Linked DNA regions of Anolis sagrei. The protein of the gene in region 1 purifies or fractionates together with the protein of each later gene. This does not show direct contact. Links are inferred from orthologs where the notes say so. Each region holds a gene or a part of one and is shown in the gene's direction. Other genes may lie near its edges.

Evidence for each region.
Region 2: the proteins of NDUFAF4 (region 1) and NDUFS2 purify together in Homo sapiens (co-immunoprecipitation; 3 studies listed by BioGRID and IntAct, with this or other methods). This does not show direct contact. The link is inferred for Anolis sagrei from reciprocal best matches to the Homo sapiens genes NDUFAF4 and NDUFS2.

Annotation. Positions count from the first base shown.
Region 1 is NC_090021.1:100,930,553-100,941,514, forward strand, and holds the start of NDUFAF4 (NADH dehydrogenase [ubiquinone] 1 alpha subcomplex assembly factor 4), read left to right. Parts: upstream 1-5,713; 5' UTR 5,714-5,761; coding exon 5,762-5,897; intron 5,898-10,234; coding exon 10,235-10,332; intron 10,333-10,962. UniProt on the Homo sapiens protein: Involved in the assembly of mitochondrial NADH:ubiquinone oxidoreductase complex (complex I). May be involved in cell proliferation and survival of hormone-dependent tumor cells. May be a regulator of breast tumor cell invasion.
Region 2 is NC_090032.1:14,681,173-14,692,224, forward strand, and holds the start of NDUFS2 (NADH dehydrogenase [ubiquinone] iron-sulfur protein 2, mitochondrial), read left to right. Parts: upstream 1-6,063; 5' UTR 6,064-6,098; coding exon 6,099-6,184; intron 6,185-10,787; coding exon 10,788-10,891; intron 10,892-11,052. Other genes in the region: UQCRQ (cytochrome b-c1 complex subunit 8), read right to left, coding at 3,484-3,637. UniProt on the Homo sapiens protein: Core subunit of the mitochondrial membrane respiratory chain NADH dehydrogenase (Complex I) which catalyzes electron transfer from NADH through the respiratory chain, using ubiquinone as an electron acceptor. Essential for the catalytic activity of complex I.

The DNA of each region.
Region 1 (10,962 bases):
TCTCAGCCCTGTAGCCAAAATGGAGCCATTACTCAAGATGCTTTCATACGATAAAAAGAAAACTTAGTTCATTTTTTTCAGGAAATTAGTCTTCGGTAGGAAAGGAGACAGATTAAAGAAGTCAGCCCATACTTGGGCACAAGAGCCCCTAATGCAGAGACAACCTAGAAGACAATATAACCGTTGGAGCCTCGTGGATGCTCTCATTCAAGTCAGAAGGAAACACTAACTTATTGGAGAAAGTGACTTTAACGAGCAAGTCCCCTCTCCCACTAATCAATTTATATAAGCATAGATCCCTCGTAGTTTCCAGCACTTTTCACATGGATAACAGGGTTGCAATAATGTTTGTGATGCTGCTGCTGCTAACACAGCTATGACAAAAATCCTGTTCAGTGTCACTGACATGGGAGGAGAGTCTCTTGATTCTACAGTACCTGTAACCAGCAAGGATCACTGCTTCTCTGTTGCTAAGAATAATGGTAAACCAAATCCTAGGTGGATTTGCTAGGGATCTGGATTCCATACCAAGTTCTCTTCCAATGCATGGAAGCCCAGTTCTCTTTTTGGGATCAAATAAGCAAAACAGGCATTTAGCAGTTCTGTCCTTTTGCTATAATTTGTTAGCATTTTAACATCCTTGGATAGTGCCATCCTTGGCTATTCTCTTGCTTCAAACATACTTCAACCCTCACTTCACGTTACTTCCTGTTTCCCTAGTTGGACTCAGCTCATTTTGAGCTTTATATTTCTGTACACGATTCCTACAAGTTTAGGCTATATGTATTCTCTGTTTTGTCCTTCCTTCCATTCTTTATATTTTTTTTCTTTTTTTACTTCTTGAGTTTACATTGGCTTTTTCAGATGTTTCCCATTTTTCTTCTTTCTTGAAATTGTTTGCTATTGTGCTTTTTGGAACCCCTTCTTCATAAAATTCTACTCATTGTGGTTGCTTGTTTTCTTTAGCATCTCATTGATTTTACTTCATAAAATCGGCTTCCTGGAAATCCAAAGTGCTTTTTGCGATGATATTGATACCCACATGAATAAGAAAAAAAGGGTGTGATCTGTGATCAGCTTTAACACATTGTTAGTAACATCCCAAATGCATGCACTAAAGAGACAGCACGCCTCCTGATTCATCTTCTCAGGCTGACACACAGGTTCCTCTATACCAGGCATGGACATACTTCAGCCCTCCAAGTGTTTGGATTTCAACTCCCACAATTCCCAATATCTGGTAAGCTAAATAGGATTTCTGGAAGTTGAAGTCTAAAACACAGGGAGGGCAGAAATTAGACCATGCCTGATCTATACTATACCATGGAGCAATGAGTTCCCTATCACCAGCACATTTCTTTTTTGCTGCAGTCAGACCTTAAGTTGACTTTCTTCTCGGATTGCAGCATCACTTGTTGCTAATTTCCTGCTTAGAGAACTTCATCATTATGATATTCAGGAAGATGTAGAAAGCGATTGCTTTGTTGGAGTTGGACTGAATCTCGGGTATAGTCTGGTCCTGACGGTGACTGTCCTCCAGTCATTCTTCCTTAATGCTATCATCCTCTTGATTTTCCTTGGCAGTTTCTTCCTATTGATTCTGTAAAAGCAATTCTGTGAAGTCCTTGTGGTCTCTGGTGCTCTAAAGCAGTGTTTCTCAAACTCTGCTCCTCCAGGTATTTTACACTTCAGCTCCCAGAAATCCCAGTCAGCCTACCTGCTGTTGGGAACTGTGGGAGCTGAAGTACAAAACATCTAAAGGAGCACAGTTTGAGAAACTCTGCTCTAAAGAGTGTTAATACATTGCTGAAACAGGTTGACCTTGTCTTCCAAGAAAGTCACCAATTGTACTTGCTGCAAGTGTAGTCGGGGAGGTTTTCTGGCAAGAAAATAAATATCACACACACATTGTAACAGGCCATTATAAAGCAGTTAGTTTTTCTTCTCTTTGAGACTATAATAGCTCTTTGGAATATAACCACACACTGTAAAATGCATGCTGCTAGCTTGTTTCCTCACCTATTCTGCCTTTCTGCTCATGAGAACTTTAGCAAAGTCTACTGGGAAAGATATGTTAATGAGATAGGAAAATAGGAACAAGAGGAAATAAAATAAAGAATGAAAAAAATAAGAAAAAAATCACGTTATTAATGAGACCTGAGGATGAATGATATTTGCACCACACTTTTTGTCAATAATGACGCAACCCACACAAACTTTAATCCTGCAAACTGTACTTCAGCTTCCACTGTTCATAGTAGGAAGAGGAAGGTAAAACTGAGAAAGTCACGCTATATGCTCATGTCTTAAGTTTAGAAAGTTTCATCATAAAATCAAACCCAAAAAATGGATCATTTTTTCCACAGGTCAATGTAGGTGATACATATCAAAAAAGGAACCACACCTTTCACTGAGTAAAGTGGTGAAAAGCCAAAGCATAATTCGGGCTGTCTTCACTACAAACATCGTTGCATTTTCACCAAAGTATGTACCACAATTCCATTTCAAAAGCCATTTATTTTAAAAGCTTCCCTTTTCAACCCTAAATCACATTTTCTGAATTATTGAAATTACATGATGATCCACATGGGGGCCCTTCTGCAATGTTCCCAAACACAAACAAAAATTTTGCTTCTTAGAGAGATGGCCTTTATAGAAATCACTAAGGCAATGTAGATGCCCTCTGAGAAAGGTCTCTCAGAATCTAGGTCCTCCAATGCAGTTGTAAGGTTAGCTTCCTCAGAAGTTGACCACAGAGTCATGCTGTAAGAACTAGACATTTCTAGAGAGGTATTTTCTCAGAAGAAAAAAATACAAATGTCTTTATTTGGAGAGCTTACTGTATAATGACAAGTCAACATGTATGTAAATACTGTTGGTTCCATGGATAATTTTATTTATTTATTTATTTGTGGTATTTGTATACAGTTCTTCTTAACCCCGAAAGGGACTCAGGGCAGTTCACAGTTTGCTCTACTGGGGACTAAAAATAGGTATGAAGCCCAATTTAACATCATGGCAAGGATCTGACAAAACTGACAAAAAATAGGGGTCCTCAAACTGTTGGGGGCCAGACTATAGTTTGAAAAAAACATGAACAAATTCCTCTGCACACTGCACATATCTTATTTGTAGTGCAAAACAAACAAACAACAATACAATACTTAAAATGAAGAGCAATTTTAACCAACATAAACTTACCAGCATTTCAATGGGAAGGGTGGGTCTGCTTTTGAGAGAGTCAAGTTTATTAGGATTGTTGTTGTTGTGTGCCTTTAAGTTGTTTCAGATCTAGAGCAACCCTAAGGCTAAAGTTTAGGGCAGGGGCCAGGTAAACGGCGTTGGAGGACCGCATCTGGCCCATAGGTCTTAGTTTGGGTACCTCTGGTCTAAATAAGTCACCATTTATGCATGTAAAGATTGAAAAAAAAAACAGACTTAAAATTATCTGTAGCACTTTCATGCGATGGAGTTTTGATTTACATTTGATTGTTGCTTTATGCTTGTTCTGTATCTGTTTGGGGTAAGTGGAAAAAAAATGTGGTTTTTTTATCCATGTAATTTATTGTATATATTTCATGTTCTTATGTTTTCGACTTTGTTGTATCCCACCTCGAGCCACCGTATTATTATTATTATTATTATTATTATTATTATTATTATTATTATTACACTATGTAACAAAAAAAAATAAATATCTATTTCTGGTTTGAATTTGTTATTTCCTGTTTAATTGTGCGGTACTGACTTTGAAAGCAGTTGTTCTGCTCCAGAAACGTTGTTTTTGTGGCTGAGGGTAGTACTATTATTTTCTTTGGTCTCAGCACTTCATTTGCAATTCTCCTTAACGAAAATAATGCCATTTTTAATTTTTCAATGTTAATTCTGTTTCTACAGACTTCTAAGAGCATACTGCATACTACAGTAGAGCCTCGCTTATAAACGGGCCAGCAGAACGTTGGATAAGCAAAAATGTTGGATAATACGTAGGGATTAAGGAAAAGCCAATTAAATGTCAAATAATCTTATGATTTTACAAATTAAGCACCAAAACATTATGTTTTACAACAAATTGACAGAAAAAGCAGTTCAATACACGGTAATATTATGTAGTAATTACTGTACTTACAGATTTAGCATCAAAACATCGCAATGTGGATCTGGACGGTAGGCAGAATGCATTGGATAGTACAGAATGTTGGATGAGGGAAGGTTGGATAAGCCGGACTCTACTGTACTTCTAAAATGGAGTCTGAGTCCTGAACATGCCCAGATCTGGTCACATGGTCTGCAGCCCCTCCCACAATATAGTTAAGGAAAACTGTATATCGGTGTTTCTCAATCTTCCTAATGCTGCGACCCCTTAATAGAGTTCCTCATGTTGTGGTAACCCCCAACAATAAAATTATTTATGTTGCTACTTCATAACTGTAATCTTCCTACTGCTATGAATCATAATGTAAATATCTGATACACGGGATGTATTTTCATTCACTGGACTAAATTGTGCAACAAATATCCGAAACGCCCAAATTTGAATACTGGTGGAGGTTTGATTTTGTCATTTAGGAGTTGTAGTTGCTGGGATTTATAGTTCACTTACAATCAAAGAGCATTCTGAACTCCACCAATCATGGAATTGAACCAAACTGGCTGAGTTTAGGGAAAACAGACCTTGACATTTGACAGTTGTAGTTGCTGGGATTTATAGTTCACCTACAATCAAAGAATTCAACCAAACTCAGCACATAGAACTCGCATGACCAACAGAAAATACTGGATAGGTATGGTGGGCATTGACCTTGAGTTTGGGAGTTGTAGTTTACCTACATCCAGAGAGCACTGTGGACTCAGATAATGATGGAGCTGGACCAAACTTGGCACAGATACTCAATATGCCGAAATGTGAACACTGGCGGAGTTTAGAGAAAACAGACCTTGACATTTGGCAGTTGTAGTTGCTGGGATTTATAGTTCACCTAGCATTCTGAACCCCACCAATGATAGAATTGAACCAAACTTGGCACATAGAACTCCCATGACCAACAGAAAATACTGGCATTGTCCTTGAGTTTGGGAGTTGTAGTTCACCTACATCCAGAGAGCACTGTGGACTCAGACAATGATGGATCTGGACCAAACTTGGCACAAATACTCCATATGGCCAAATGTGAACACTGGTGGTGTTTGGGGGAAATAGACCTTGACATTTGAGAGTTGCAGTTTCTGGGATTTATAGTTCACCGACAATCAAATAGCATTCTGAACCCCACCAACAATAGAATTGGACCAAACTTCCTACACAGAATCCCTATGACCAATAGAAAATACTGTGTTTTTTATGGTCCTTGGCGACACCCCCTGCCCCCCCCCCCCCATGACCCCAACAAAGGTCCCGACCCCCAGACTGAGAAATGCTGCTGTATACCAACAAACATATACAATAGAGTAAGCAATTCAAATTATATACATAACAAATGACTAGTATAGGAGGCTGGAAGAAGGTTGCAATTTCCAATAAGGCAGAGGAGGCTAAAGACCGTGCACAACTACAACTCCCAGCATTTCATAGTATTGAGAGCAGTCCAAAATCATTCTCCTGGCTGCTGTAATAGATAGAGCCTGTCTGTGGCTCGGCCTCCGACCGCTAGGCGTCGCCCGAGAGCCTCAATGCGCACAGAAGCAGAGAAGGAGGAGGAAGAGGAGGAGCCCTTTGGAGGCAGGAAGGAAGGGGCGTGGCCGGCGTTGTCCCGGGACCGGGATGATGGGCGCGAGGGTGAGCCGCGTGCTCGGCCAGTTCAACCTGGAGAGCCGCGCGCACCGCGAGATCGGGAAGGCCAAGCCCGCGCCCGCCCCCAGGCACCCCCTCCCCGCCGCCGCCGCCAAGCAGCAGCCAAGTGAGTCACGCTGAGGGAGGTTGAGGCCCTCCAGGTGTTTTGGACTTCAACTCCCACAATTCCTAACAGCCGGTAGGCTGTTAGGAATTGTGGGAGTTGGAGTCCAAAACACCTGGAGGGCCCAAGCCTGGTGTAGGTAGATTCAGCAGCTCTGCAGAGTGAGTTGGCACTTGGATTTCTGCACTGTTTCTTTTTCTCTCCCTTTGCTTTGACTGTGCATGCAATAGGTAATGAATTGCAAACAAGCCTACATCTACACTGCATCATTAATGCAGTTTGACCCCTCCTCCTGAACTGCCAAGGCTGAATGCAGTAGAATTAACCGAGCTGCAGTTTTTCAAGGTCTTTGGCCATCATTGTGTCCCATTCTGGGCACCACAATTGAAGGGAGATGTTGACAAGCTGGAATGTGTCCAGAGGAGGATGACTAAAATGATCAAGGGTCTGGAGAGCAATCCCTATGAGGAGCGGCTTAAAGAGCTGGGCATGTTTAGCCTGAAGAAGAGAAGGCTGAGAGGAGATATGATAGCCATGTATAGGGAGGAGGGAGCAAGTTTGTTTTCTGCTTCCCTGGAGACTAGGACACAGAACAATGGCTTCAAACTACAAGAAAGGAGATTCCACCTGAACATTAGGAAGAACTTCCTAACTGTGAGAGCTGTTCAGCAGTGGAACTCTCTGCCCCAGAGTGTGGTGGAGGCTCCTTCTTTGAAAGCTTTTAAACAGAGGCTGGATGGTCAGGGGTGCTTTGAATGCAATATTCCTGTTTCTTGGCAGGGATGGCCCATGAGGTCTCTTCCAACTCTATGATTCCATTGTTGCCTCCGCAAACTACAACTCCCAGCATCCCCTTAGGAGGGGGCCATAATTGTTAAAGTGTCATCCTGTATTCATTCTTCACACATATACATCACACTAGAGAATAAATCCACTCTAAATCCAGTTTCTGCTCATACAGAATTCTGGGGTTTGTATTTTAGTGAGGCTGTTAAATGCTCCTCCATAAACTGCAAACCCCAGAATTCTTCAGCAACCGGATTTAAAGTGGATTCATTCTATAGTGTGATGAGGCCAATTGATCATCCACACAGTCCACATTTTCACTATGGGTTACTGCTAGGTTGAAGCCAACTTCAGTGCCTTTAATGGGGGCTTCTGTGCCTTTAAGAGGAGGGCATTTCAGTCAGTGTACCTTGAAACACTGAGGTTGACTTTCCAACACAAATATTAAAGGTATGTGGGCCATTTCCAGTTTTTATAATGGCAACCCTACTGGTTTGTGTGAAGGTGATTGCATAGGGAAGGGAGGTGGCCATATTGGCAGGGTAGAAAATCCTTTTGACATTGAAGTTTTCCTTTTGGTGTCCAAGATCTTCTGGAAGCAATGCTGCCCTTTGCCCCTCCCCTTTCCCTGCCTAAGGCCCATTGCAAAGCGCATGCGTCATTGAAGGAGAGATTTGCAGGCTGGGAGTTGTGGTCTGAGAGCCATCTGCAGCTATTTCCATCAGTTACAGGCAGTCCCGGAGTCAGGCCCGTAGCCAGGATTTTAATTCAGGGGTGGGGGTGGGCTGAGTTTGATTGAGGGTGGATGAGGATCTATCCTAGCAAACCTTTTGTATCGTTATCCCAATACCACCATTCACATGGGATATATTGAGCATGGTGATCAGATCATGATATGAATAAACATAACAGTTTAAATAATGTACCAGTAAGGCCTTCTCGCGAACCACCATGAGAATTTGGGGGGGAGGGAGGCTGAAGCCCCTCAGCCCCCCCCCCACATGCCTGCCCAGAGTGTTCAGTCTTTCCAAATTTTGGGATAGATGACTTGCATCTATTCAGTAGATGGATGCAACTAACTATGTGCAGCAAGTCCCCAAGTTACAAACATCTGACTTACAAATTACTCATAGTTAAGAACGGGGTGAGACAAAAGGAAGTGAGAGAAATCTACCCCTTGGAAGGGAAATTCAGTCCTGAAAGAATTTGAATGGGGAAAAGGTGTCTCAGCTAAACCTTGGAAGAAACCTCGTGGGCCATCCAGTCCAACCCCCTGTCAAGATCAGCAAAATCACATTCAAAGTACCTCTGAGAGATGGCCATCCAGCCTCTGTTAAAAAGCCTCCAAAGAAGGAGATTCCACCACACTCTGGGGCAGAGAGTTCCACGGCTGAACAGCACTCACAGTCAGGAAATTCTTCCTAATGTTCAGGTAAAATGTCCTTTCCCGTAGTTTGAAGACGTCCTAGGGCCCTTCCACACAGCCCTTAATCCCAGAATATCAAGGCTGAAAATCCCACAATATTTGCTTTGAAATGAGTTATCTGAGTCCACACTCAGATAATGTGGGATTTCCTGCCTTGATATTCTTGGATATAGGGCTGTGTGGAAGGGCCCCCAGAACCTATCTTGCTTGTAACTTGCTCTCTAAGCTCCAGCATCCTGTCCTCTCCATACATACCCACCATATGCTTTTTTTATCCTGCTGCTTTCTTTTTTGTAATCATTGCACAAATCTTATTGTAAAGTCCGTATTAATTATAAATCTGGTCATTCAGGACATCTGTGAATTTACTCAATTCAGTAGATCTACTCTTAAATGAGGCTTGCAATTCCCGATATTTTACAGATTTTTAGATCTTTTCCAAATGAAAGAAGGAGTTTGTACAGGGCTCTCTAAGGAATTGGCTGCTCTCCCTAGTTAGTAAAAACATCAACAACAAAGTAAAATCACTAGAGAATATAAAAATGTGGATGTCTTATTCAGCCAGGATAATAAACCCTCTATTTATTTTGTTATGTCTTTTAATTTAATAAAATATTTATTTCTCACTGTGCATCTCACTACTTCAGGGCAGCGTACAAATACGATAAGTGGTAGGAAGCAATGTAACAATTTCAGAAGTGTAAAACCACCAAATAGTTTGCACATTTTAAAGCTATGGGGACAGAATGAGGGAACGTATATCCAGGATGGAAATGTCATGAATAAGTGGTTGAAGAAGAAACATTTATTACTAGGCGATCTAGCAAAATTTAATTTTGATGGACCTAGTTATGGCCAGAGGGGAAATTATATGGCTTTTCTGCTAACCCTCTGATCAGTTATTCTCTTTCATGCCTTCTCTGTCGTTCTGGCCTCTCAAAATGACCGTGGCTGGATCTACACTGCCATATAATCCAGTTTCTGAATCCAGATCGCCTCCTTTGAACTGGTTGTATGAGTCTACACTGCCATATAATCCAATTCGAAGCAGATAATCTGGATTCAGAAACTGGATTATAAGGAGGTGATGAAGGGACCTTTGTAAAAAACTTTGAAACTGCCAACAGTCCAGTGAAGAACAATTTGTGTGTATGATTAGAGTATGAATAAATGTGAAATTCAAAACCAATGCTCCAAATGGTGCTATATTAGGGGAGGTGTGTGTTGTTAACAAGACTTCTGAAAATGGCATTGTACTGATTTAGTTACACTGCCTCTATTTATATGAACTTGTTTGTGTCATATATCTTCAAGTAACTTCCAAATTTACAGTAACCCTAGAGTGATCAAACCAGAGGGTTTTTTTCACTGTATGTGTGCCCTTGCCTTCTTCTAAGGCCCCTTCTGCACTGCCATATAAAATCCAGGTTATCTGATTTGAACTGGATTATATGCCAGTATAGACTCATATAACCCAATTCAAAGTAGATAATGTGGTTTTTCTGATTTGATAATCTGGATTATATGACAGCATAGAAGGGGCCTTTGGCTATTTATTAATCGTGTCAGAAGCAATATGAGGGTACAGTTATAATGTATTTAAAAAAGATCACAAACAAAGTTAAAAACTTGGCATTATACTAGATATCCACTTGGAGTGCCTCTGGTGTCGCTGTGAGAAGGCCCTTCATTGTGCATGTGGCAAGACTCAGGTTGCATTGTAGTAAATAGTCTGTGGTTTGCTCTTCTCCACACTTGCATGTCATGGACTCTACTTTGTAGGCCATTTCTTGGTTCTGCATCTTGTGGTGCCAGAGCACAGTGCCTTCCAAGTTGCCCAGCCATCTGTGTGACCGGGGGACAGTATCTCATCTGGTTTCAGCCACAAATTGATGTTCCAGGTTTTAGCCTGCCACTTTTGGACTCTCATTTACTAAGTTGTTACTGCTAGTATCTCTGGGTCATCCAGTAGTTTTCCACAAAGAGGAGGGAATTTAAACCATGGTTTTCAAGGGTCATATTCCCAACACTTAAACCAAACGATTTCCCTATAATTTCTGGAAGAATTGTAACATCTGGGGGGGATGACAAATAATTAAAGATTTGCATTGTTAATGTTTTCTGCTAGGCTCGATTGAATTCCAGGAAGAGGTTACAAAAAAAGATCAACACCTTCATACTCTATTAAAAGACGTTTACGTGGATTCCAGGGATCCCCCTAAACAGGTGAGTAGGATTGTTCATTCTCCTTTTCAGACATATACCAGCAACAAGGGTACTGTCCACTTTTTTGTACTGCAGTTCTAAGTACTTCTTTGTACTGCAGTTCTACACTGTCATATAAAATCCAGATTATCTCCTTTGAACTGGTTTATGTGGCAATGTAGACTCATATAATCCAGTTCAAAGCAGATAATGTGGATTCTCTGTTTTTATAATCTGGATCATATTTAATCTTCTATTTTTAAATATTTTATAATTGCACATCTCAATTATAATTTTGGGTAATAATTTTTAATCATTTTATGCATGCTTGCTTGCTTTATTTGCCATCTCATTGCTCCTAATTAGTACATATTGCAGGGATAGTCATTTAAAAACATTCAAGGATCTCTTCTGTCTCATCATCCGTGCTATACAGGTAATTTCTGATTTTGGAAGTAAGTTGGTTCCCTGTCCTCCTTCTCTGTTTCCTTTGTATTTTTAGTTAGGCTAGCAAAACTTCACAAGTCAAACTTTAATCTGAGTTTCTTTTTGATTACTCAGGTGAGTGCCATAGGAAACATCATCCTATTTCAAAATAAACTTGACAGGTTTGGAGCAGGAAAAACTTAAGCCTTGTATTTATATACAAGA
Region 2 (11,052 bases), on another chromosome or scaffold:
GTAAAATAATGAATGTAGCAATAACAACAATTATACAGTAAACAACAATACAGTAAAATAATAAATGTATAATAATAGAGTAAAATGATAAATGTAATAATGATAAATAGAATAAAATAATAAATAAAATGAAAATAATGATAATAATAATAATAACAACAACAGCGTAAAATAATAAATAACCTTGACTTGAGTATAAGCCGAGGGGGACTTTTTCAGCCTAAAAAAGGGCTGAAAAATTAGGCTTATACACAAGTATATACAGTATGTTGAATTAGTTGATATTCCTTGAAAATCTAAAGCAAAACGTGCTGCAGGATTTCTATCGTGCCCCATGAAGACCCTCACTGTTTACCCCTAGTTAAGCCCTTCTTAGTTAGGGGGATTAATATTTTATGCAGTTTCTGGGGGTCAGTCTAGACCTCTGGAGTAGAGCCTCAGGCAAGGCACTTCAGGTTCTTGGAAGAGTCGGCCTTTTTGTGACTGAAAGGTGATGAGAGAAAGGCTGGAAGGCCAACAAATAGCACGTCCAGTCAGAACTGTATGAGTTGTATTCAAGTTCCGTCAGAGTTAAATATTGAGACCATCTTAGAGACAGCTGAACACCATACAAGAAAGAGACAATAATAATAAATAAAGATTCAAGAGCCTCAGTTCGTGAGCTGTGTCTGTCTCTCAAAGACTTTATTGTAATGTTATTTTGTTATTGTATTTTTTTCATGTAATTTTGATGATGTTGTTTATGTTTTGGTTTTATTTTGATATAATATGTTGTTTGGGCTTGTAAGTTTCCCCATGTTTCTCTGAGTCCCCATCGGGAAGATGGTGGCGGGGTATAAATAAAGTCTATTATTATTATTATTATTATTATTATTAGTATTATTATTATTATTATTTACCTCTCCTCACAAAGACTTTGTAGTGAGACTGAGGAGGACAGAAGGTATACAACTCTTATCAGTAAATAAATTCTTGTTTTGATTCTATATAGTCTCTCTGCCTCTTTCTCTCCTTCCTTCACTCTTTGCTTCCATGCTTCCTTCTCTCTTTCCTTCTTTCCCTCCCTCCTTCTCTCTGTCTTTCTTTCTCTCCTTCCTTCCTTCTCTATCTCTTTCCTTCTTTTCCCCCTTTTTCTTTTCCTATTTCTTTCTCTCCTTCCTTCCATTGCTCTTTGCTTCCATGCTTCCTTCTCTCTTTTCTTCTTTCTTGCCCTCCCATTTTCTTTTTCTTTCTACCTTTATTCCTCTCTACCTCTCTCCTTCCTTCTCTCTTTGCTTCCATGCTTCCTTCTCTCTTTCCTTCTTTCTTTCCCTCCCTCCCTCCTTCTCTCTCTCTTTCTTTCTCCCCTTCCTTCCTGCCCTCCCTCTTCCTTCCCTATTTTCATCATTTAGCTTTTTGTCATTTAGCTTTATGGGGTTTTAAAGTCCTTCCTGCTGTTTTTTGGGGGGATTTTAGTAGTGATGGTCACTTGTTGGTCTGTTAGGGGTATAGTGTCCAAATTTCATGTCAATTCATCCAGTGGTTTTTGAGTTATGTTAATCCCACAAACTAACATTACATTTTTATTTATATAGATATAGAACCAATGTGCTTTTCATTCTGAGGTATTTTGTTTGTTTGTTTTTTGCTGGGAGGAGGGGAAATTTCAACCACGCGTTGCTGTGGCCAACCTTTCCTCCATCTTTCTCCCCTTCTTTCCTTCCTTCCTTCCCTTTTCTTCTCTCCTTTCTTCCTTCTCTACCTCTTTTCTCCTTCCTTCACTTTTTGCTTCCATCCTTCCTTCTCTCTTTCCTTTCATCCCTCTTTCTCTCCTTCCTTCCTTCTCTACCTCTTTCCTTCCTTTTTCTTTTCCTACTTATTTCTCTCCTTCCTTCCTTTGCTTGTTGCTTCCATGCTTCCTTCTCTCTTTTCTTCTTTCTTGCCCTCCCACTTTCTCTTCTATTTTCTTTCTACCTTTCTTCCTCTCTCCCTCTTTCTCTCCTTCCTTCACTCTTTGCCTCCATGCTTCCTTCTCTCTTTCCTTCTTTCTTTCTTTCCCTCCCTCCCTCCTTCTCTCTCTCTTTCTTTCTCCTTCCTCCCTTCTCTACCTCTTTCCTTCCTTTCCCTCCTTTTTCTTTTCCTACTTCTTTCTCTCCTTCCTTCCTTTGCTCTTTGCTTCCATGCTTCCTTCTCTCTTTTCTTCTTTCTTGCCCTCCCACTTTCTCATCTTCTTTCTTTTTTCTTTCTACCTCTCTTCCTCTCTACCTCTTTCTCTCCTTCCTTCACTCTTTGCTTCCATGCTTCCTTCTCTTTTTCCTTCTTTCTTTCCCTCCCTCCTTCTCTCTCTCTCTTTCTTTCTCCTTCCTTCCTTCTCTCTTTCCTTCCTTTCCCTCCTTTTTCTTTTCCTACTTCTTTCTCTCCTTCCTTCCTTTGCTCTTTGCTTCCATGCTTCCTTCTCTCTTTTCTTCTTTCTTGCCCTCCCACTTTCTCATCTTCTTTCTTTTTTCTTTCTTCCTCTCTACTTGTCTCTCCTTCCTTCACTCTTTGCTTCCATGCTTCCTTCTCTCTTTCCTTCTTTCATTCTTTCCCTCCCTCCTTCTCTCTCTTTCTTTCTCTCCTTCCTTCTCTACCTCTTTCCTTCCTTTCCCTCCTTTTTCTTTTCCTACTTCTTTCTCTCCTTCCTTCCTTTGCTCTTTGCTTCCATTCTTCCTTCTCTCTTTTCTTCTTTCTTGCCCTCCCACTTTCTCCTCTTCTTTCTTTTTTCTACCTTCCCCTCTACTTCTTTCTCTCCTTCCTTCACTCTTTGCTTCCATGTTTCCTTCTCTCTTTCCTTCTCTCTTTCCCCCTCCTTCTCTCTCTTTTTTCTCTTCTTCCTTCTCTATCTCTTTCCTTCCTTTCCCTCCTTTTTCTTTTCCTACTTTTCTTTCCTTCCTTCCTTTGCTCTTTGTTTCCATGCTTCCTTCTCTCTTTTCCTTTTTCTTGCCCTCCCACTTTCTCCTCTTCTTTCTTCTTTCTTTCTACCTTTCTTCCTCTCTACCTCTTTCTCTCCTTCCTTTACTCTTTGCTTCTATGCTTCCTTCTCTTTTTCCTTCTTTTTTTCCCTCCCTCCTTCTCTCTCTCTCTTTCTTTCTCCCCTCCTTCCTTCCCTCCCTCTTCCTTCCCTTTTTTCATCATTTAGCTTTTTGTCATTTAGCATTATAGGGTTTTAAAGTCCTTTCTGCTGTTTTTTGGGGGGATTTTAGGAGTGATGGTCACTCGTTGGTCTGTTAGGGGTTTAGTGTCCAAATTTCATGTCAATTTGTCCAGTGGTTTTTGAGTTCTGTTAATACCACAAACGAATATTACATTTTTATTTATATAGATATAGAACCAATGTGCTTTTTGTTCTGAGGTATTTTGTTTGTTTGTTTTTTGCTGGGAGGAGGAGAAATTTCAATGGAAATTAACATTTGCACAAAGAGCTGTGCAACAAATGGAAGAAGCGAGCCAATGTTTTTCACTTACGAGGAGCCACACGCAAGACCTGGGAGCTGAATCGCCTCCAGACGTTGAGAATCCCTTTTGAGAAGTAGTTGGGGAAAGCCCTCTGCTCAAAGGGAGACAAGCTGTAAGTGATCACGTGCCGCATCCGTTCCAGGTTCCCAAAATGGCCACCCATCTTGGCAGGTTGCTCTGAAAAAGTACAAAAAGGAATGAGCAAAACAGTTGAACTGGCAAACCCTTGAGAATGAGTGACAGGCAAGATAAGCCTGGCACGGATATCCCTGTAGAACGGGCACTGAAGGAGCACATGTTCTATTGTTTCTACATGACCCAAGTCACAAGGGCAGAGTCACTCATTAACAGAACTCAAAAACCACTGGACGAATTGACACCAAATTTGGACACAAGACACCTAACAACCCAATGTATGTCCTTCACTCAAAAAATGATTTTGTCTTTTGGGAGTTGTAGTTGCTGGGATTTATAGTTCATTTACAATCAAAGAGCATTCTCAAGGCTGAGAGGAGACATAATAGCCATGTATAAATACGTGAGAGGAAGTCACAGGGAGGAGAGAGCAAGCTTGTTTTCTGATGCCATGGAGACTAGGATGCAATGGAACAATGGCTTCAAACTACAAGAAAGGAGATTCCATCTGAACATTAGGAATAACTTCCTGAGTGTGAGAACCGTTCAGCAGTGGAACTCTCTGTCTCAGAGTGTGGTGGAGGCTCCTTCTTTGGAAGTTTTTAAACAGAGGCTAGATGGCCATCTGTCAGGGGTGCTTTGAATGCAATATTCCTGCTTCTTGGCAGGGGGTTGGCCTGGATGGCCCATGAGGTCTCTTCCAACTCTAGGATTCTATGACTAACAGATAGATAGAACCTGTGGCCTGGTTCCTGCCCAACACAGACCCGGGGGGAACAGATTATCCCCAAATCCCCTTCTATTAGAATAATAGAATCCTAGAGTTGGAAGAGACCTCCTGGGTCATCCATTCCAACCTCATTCTGGCAAGAAGCAGGAAAATCGCATTCAAAGCACCCCCAACAGATGGCCACCCAGCCTCTGCTTAAAAGTCTCCAGGGCAGCAGAAAACAAGCTTTCTCCCTCCTCCCTGTGACTTCCTCTCACATATTTATACATGGCCATCATGTCTCCTCTCAGCCTTCTCTTCTTCAGGCTAAACATGCCCAGCTCCTTAAGTCCAACCCCATTCTGCCAAGAAACAGGAAAATTGCATTCAATAACCCTCAACAGATGACCATCCAGCCTCTGTTTAAAAGCTTCCAAAGAAGGAGCCTCCACCACACTCCGAGGCAGAGAGTTCCACTGCTGAACGGCTCTCACAGTCATAAAGTTCTTCCTAATGTTCAGTTGGAATCTCCTTTCTTGTAGTTTGAAGCCATTGTTCCGCGTCCTAGTCTCCAAGGAAGCAGAAGACAGACAGGAGAGGCCAGGGGACAGCACCATCTTCTCTCCTGCATATGCCATCAGCTGGAGACCCCTCCCCCCAGCACCAACTGTCGCTCTGGGCCGGAGTGAAGAGAGCGGGGGCCACGGGACAGTTCCACCTTGTCTCCTGTGCTATTCTAATAATTTAATATAATATAATATATATTGTATAAACATATAATATTTATAATATTATAATGTAATGCAATATAATACTAATAATAACATATTGTAATTATATATTTATATTACATGTAATATTACTAATATTATTACAATATAATTGGTATAGTACAATACAGTAATATTTAAAACTTATATTGTACTATGCTAATAATATAATATATTGTATGTATATATACCGTGTAAGCCGCTCTGAGTCCCCTTCGGGGTGAGAAGGGTGGCATATAAATGTCGTAAATAAATAAATAAATAAAATAAGCTTGCTCCCTCCTCCCTATGACTTCCCCTCACATATTTATACATGGCTATCATGTCTCCTCTCAGCCTTCTCTTCTTCAGGCTAAACATGCCCAGCTCTTTAAGCCGCTCCTCATAGGGCTTGTTCTCCAGACCCTTGATCATTTTAGTCATAGAATCAAAGAATCAAAGAGTTGGAAGAGACCTCATGGGCCATCCAGTCCAACCCCTGCCAAGAAGCAGGAATATTGCATTCAAATCACCCCTGACAGATGGCCATCCAGCCTCTGCTTAAAAGCTTCCAAAGAAGGAGCCTCCACCTCACTCTGGGGCAGAGAGTTCCACTGCTGAACTGCTCTCACAGTCAGGAAGTTCTTCCTAGTCGCCCTCCTCTTACCAGCCTTACCAACAGCAGCATGTAAAAGATCTATAGGAACCTATGACTATACAGATATTAAGGAACTACAGCTCTCATGATGGATGGGAGTTGTAGTCCAACACCATCGCAGTTTACCCACCCGCCCAGCGTCCTCCAAAAAAAGGTCAGGACTTCTCGCTCCAGACAACAGGAAGAAAACGGAAATGGTTTCCTTTTTCCTAGGCAGTAACGTCACTTCCGACAGAACGAATGGCCATAGAGTCTCAACCGCTGTAGTGGAGCCCTTATGGTTTGGCCTTGCCCACACTAGCAATGGCGGCTTCTGTGCGCGGAAGGGCAAAAGGGAGCATGCGCAGAATCGACGTCCAGCCGTAAAAGCAAGATGGCGGCGCTGAGGTGCCTAGGAAGGCTGCGGACACCTTCAGGGTCATGGCTGCAAGGGATGGCGCTGGGGGCGGCGCCCAGCAGGTATGCTCAGGCTCCCAGTCTTACTGCAACCTCTTCTCTATGGAGGTGCTGTGTCTGCTCGCGAATCCTCTCCCAATAGGGCTTAATCTAGAGTTGGAAGGGACCTCCAAAGGCCATCCAGTCTAACCCCCATCTGCCAGGCAGGAAGGCACAATCCAAGCACTCCCGACAGATGGCCATCCAGCCTCTGCTTAGAAACCTTTAGAGAAGGAGACTCCATTACCACCACCACCGTCATCAAATATGACTAGATATTTATTTATCGTGTCATCAGCAACCATTGTATCACAATTCTAACAGAGCAAAACAAACACACAGATTAAAAAGGAAAAGGAAAAAAAACCCACACAGATTTTGCAAACTTGGTAGCTGATTAAATGTCCTTTGACCAGTATCTGGCCACTTGGAGTGCCTCTGGTGTTGCCGCAAGAAGGTCCTCCATCGTGCATGTGGCAGGTCTCAGGGTGCATTGCAGCAGGTGGTCAGTGGTTTGCTCTTCTCCGCACTCGCATGCCGAGGATTCCACCCTGTAGCCCCATTTCTTAAGACTGGCTCTGCATCTCGTGGTGCCAGAGCACAGTCTGTTCAGCGCCTTCCAAGTCGCCCAGTCTTCTGAGTGCCCAGGGGGGAGTCTCTCATTTGGTATCAGCCATTGGTTTGGGCCTGCCACTTTTGGACTCTCGCTTGCTGGGGTGTTCCAGCGAGTGTCTCTGTAGATCTAAGAAAACTATGTCTAGATTTAAGTCGTTGGCGTGCTGGCTGATACCCAAATAGGGGATGAGCTGGAGATGTCTCTGCCTTGGTCCTTTCACTATTGGCTGCTACTTCCCGGCGGATGTCAGGTGGTGCAATACCGGCTAAGCAGTGTAATTTCTCCAGTGGTGTGGGGCGCAGACACCCCGTGATAATGCGGCACGTCTCATTAAGAGCCACATCTACTGTTTTAGTGTGGTGAGATGTGTTCCACACTGGGCATGCGTACTCAGCAGCAGAGTAGCATAGCGCAAGGGCAGATGTCTTCACTGTGTCTGGTTGTGATCCCCAGGTTGTGCCAGTCAGCTTTCGTATGATGTTGTTTCTAGCGCCCACTTTTTGCTTGATGTTCAGGCAGTGCTTCTTGTAGGTAAGAGCACGGTCCAGAGTGACTCCCAGGTATTTGGGTGCGCTGCAATGCTCCAGTGGGATTCCTTCCCAGGTAATCCTCAGAGCTCGGGATGCTTGTCTGTTCTTAAGGTGAAAGGCGCATATCTGTGTTTTAGATGGATTAGGGTTCAGTTGGTTTTCCCTGTAATAGGCAGTAAGAGCACCTAGAGCTTTGGAAAGCTTCTGTTCTACCATCTCAAAGCTCCCTGCTTGAGCAGTAATGGCACGATCATCAGCATAGATGAAACTCTCTGTCCCTTCTGGGACATGAGAGAAGCCTCCTCGCAGGATTGCAAGACATCCGGGCGTCCCCTGGGCAACGTCTTTTAGACGGCCGATTCTCTCGATCCAGAAGCAACCAGAGACGACTTGCAGCATGACTATGTATAATGATACTGTATAGATGTGTGTACGCACACGCACACACTAGCTGTCCCCTGCCACGCGTTGCTATGGCCCAGTCTGCTGATCTGAAAAATAAAGTAATGAGAAAGTGAAGCCATTGAAATCCACAAGCATGTGGACAGTTTCAACAGAAAGGAGTAAACCATGAAAATGAACAAAATCTAGCTACCAGTATTAAAAAAAAAACTCTAAAATTACAACAGCACAACAACAGAGAGGAAACAAACAAGGACATCTAATCACCTCTCAACAAAGGTTTGCTCCAGGCACAGTCAGGCCATCAAATGCTAATCAAGGTGGTCAGTTGAAACATTCACACCTAGCTCCAGCAGACAAGAGTCCTTTGTCCCACCCTGGTCATTCCACAGATATATAAACCCATTGTTCCTACTTCCAACAGACCTCACTACCTCTAAGGATGCTTGCCATAGATGCAGGCAAAACGTCAGGAGACAATGCCCCTAGACCATGGCCATATAGCCCGAAAAAACCTACAACAACCGAGAAAGTGTTGGTTTCTAATATCTGTAATGTTTTTATGCTTGTGGGTAAACAGTATTTCTTGTTGTTTCTTAGTCAGTGTTGATGTGGAGAGTGTCTGGTTTGCCTGCTCTGGATATACATTGTCCTCCTTTAAGGGTCCCTTTCATACCTATAATACTATATATATCTAGGTTCTTGTAGGTTTTTTTGGGCTATATGGCCATGTTCTGGAGGCAATTTTTCTCCTGACGTTTCGCCCGCATCTATGGCAAGCTTCCTCAGAGGTAGTGAGGTCTGTTGGAAATAGGAAAATGGGTTTATATATCTGTGGAATGGCTGGGGTGGGGCAAAGAGCTCTCTGCTGAAGCTAGGTGTGAATGTTTCAGCTGACCACCTTCATTAGCATTTGAAGGCTTGGCTGAGCCTGGGAAAATGTTCTGTTGAGAGGTGATATATATATCTGTGTTTATCTATCTATCTATATCTATAGCTGGATGGCTCTTTGTCAGGAGGGCTTTGATTACCTTTTCTTGCCCTGGTGAAGAGAGTTGAACTGGATGGGCTTAAGTATTTTCTGTTGGTCATGGGGGTTCTGTGTGGGAAGTTTGCCCCAATTCTGTCGTTGGTGGGGTTCAGAATGCTCTTTGACTGTAGGTGAACTATAAATCCCAGTAACAACAACTCCCAAATGTCAAGATCTATTTCCTCCAAATTCCATCTGTGTTCATATTTAGGCATATGGAATATTCGTGCCAAGTTTGGTCCAGATCCATCATTGTTTGAGTCCACAGTGAGCTTTGGATATCAGGTAACAGGTTGGCAGAAACTGCCATATAATCAATAGTACTATTGGTAACATAAGTATAGGCACCTTGTGTTATGTCGCACTGTGTCCCATTAAGGCAGTGCAATTGATGCAAGGAGAGCATCTCTAAGAAACTCAGATCGGCCTTGTTTCTGATTGTGTCTTGAGAGACTCTGTCAGCAGATGTAACCTGGTCATCTTGTCCGAAGTTAGTGCCTTCCACCTGTTTAACACCCATCCCAATTCTAGCATTAAAATCTCCACACAAGAGGAGCTTTGTGGAGGGGTATTGGCATTCCAAACAGGTGAGGGTTTCAGATAGTCTAAACCAGACATTATTAGGGTCTCCATTTTTTGATAATCTAGGTGGAAAATGGACATTTATACAGATTACATAACCAAAATACGTGCTCTGTATATATTGTGGGATGGAGCTATCCAAAGGTTGAATGTCCACGTGCAGATCTACTGAAATAACGGCCCAACGGTCCATCTATCATTGTTTGAGTCCACAGTGCTCTCTGGATGTAGGTGAACTACAACTCCCAAACTCAAGGTCAATGCCTACCAAACCCTTCTAGTGTTTTCTGTTGGTCATGGGAGTCCTGTGTGCCAATTTTGGTCCAATTCCATCATTGGTGTAGTTCAGAATGCTCTTTGATTGTAGGTGAACTATAAATCCCAGCAACTACAACTCCCAAATGACAAAATCAATTTTTTTTGAGTAGTGGGCACTCCTTGGGTTAGTAGGTGACTTGTGGCCAAATTTGGCAGCAATTTGTTCAGTGGTTTTTGATTTATGTTAATCTCACAAACGGACGTTACATTTTTATTTATATAGATAGCTATATATAAATAACTAGAAAGGAGATTCCATCTGAACATTAGGAAGAACTAGGTTCTTGTGGGTTTTTTCGGGCTATAGAGCCATGTTCTAGAGGCATTTCTCCTGACGTTTCGCCTGCATCTATGGCAAGCATCCTCAGAGGTAGTGAGGTCTGTTGGGATTAGGACAATGGGTTTATATATCTGTGGAATGGCTGGGGTGGGGCAAGGAGCTCTTCCCTGCTGCAGTTAGGTGTGAATGTTTAGCATTTGAAGGCCTGTCTGAGCCTGGGAAAATCTCCTGCTGGGAGGTGTTAATCTGTGCCTGGTTGTTTCCTCTCTGTTGTTTCCTCTCTGTTCTCTTAGGAAGAACTTTCTGACTTTGAGAGCTGTTCAGCAGTGGAACTCTCTGCCCCAGAGTGTGGAAGCTTTTAAAGGCTCTTTCGTTGGAAGCTTTTTAACAGAGCCTGGATGGCCATCTGTCAGGGGTGCTTTGAATGCAATTTTCCTGCTTCTTGGTAGAATGGGGTTGGACTGGATGACCCATGAGGTCTCTTCCAACTCTAGGATTCTAATGGTTAGGTGGAATCTCTTTTCCTCCCATTTGAATCCATTACTTCGTGTCCTTGTCTCTGGAGCAGCAGAAAACTTTTCCCCTACTCTTTATAACATCATTTCAAACTAGTTGCTGTGAGTTTCCCAGGCTCTAAGGCCATGTTCCAGAAGCATTCTCTCCTGACGTTTCTCCCACATCTATAGCAGGCATCCTCAGAGGTTGAGGTGTCTGTTGGAAACTAGGCAAGTGGGGTTTATATATCTGTGGAATAATGTCGAGGGTGGGAGAAAGGACTTTTGTCTGCTTGAGACAAGTGTGAATGTTGCTCCTGTGAGAATGTTGCTTGGTCATTCGCTCCTCACTGGCCTTTACTTTCTTTTCTTCAGAGGAAAGCAGTGGCAACCGGACGTGGAGTATGCCAAACAATATGGAGGAGCGGTCATGTACCCCAGCAAAGACACAGAGAAGTGGGTTCCTCCTCCCTGGAATGGTGAGTTAGTTTTGGAATCAGTCCTGAAATTGTCACTATATAAACGCTGGATATGGAGATAGGGATATGGATACGGCGCTCCATGCAGTCATGCTGGCCACATGACCTTGGCAGTGTCTATGGACAACGCCGGCTCTTCGGCTTAGAAATGGAGATGAGCA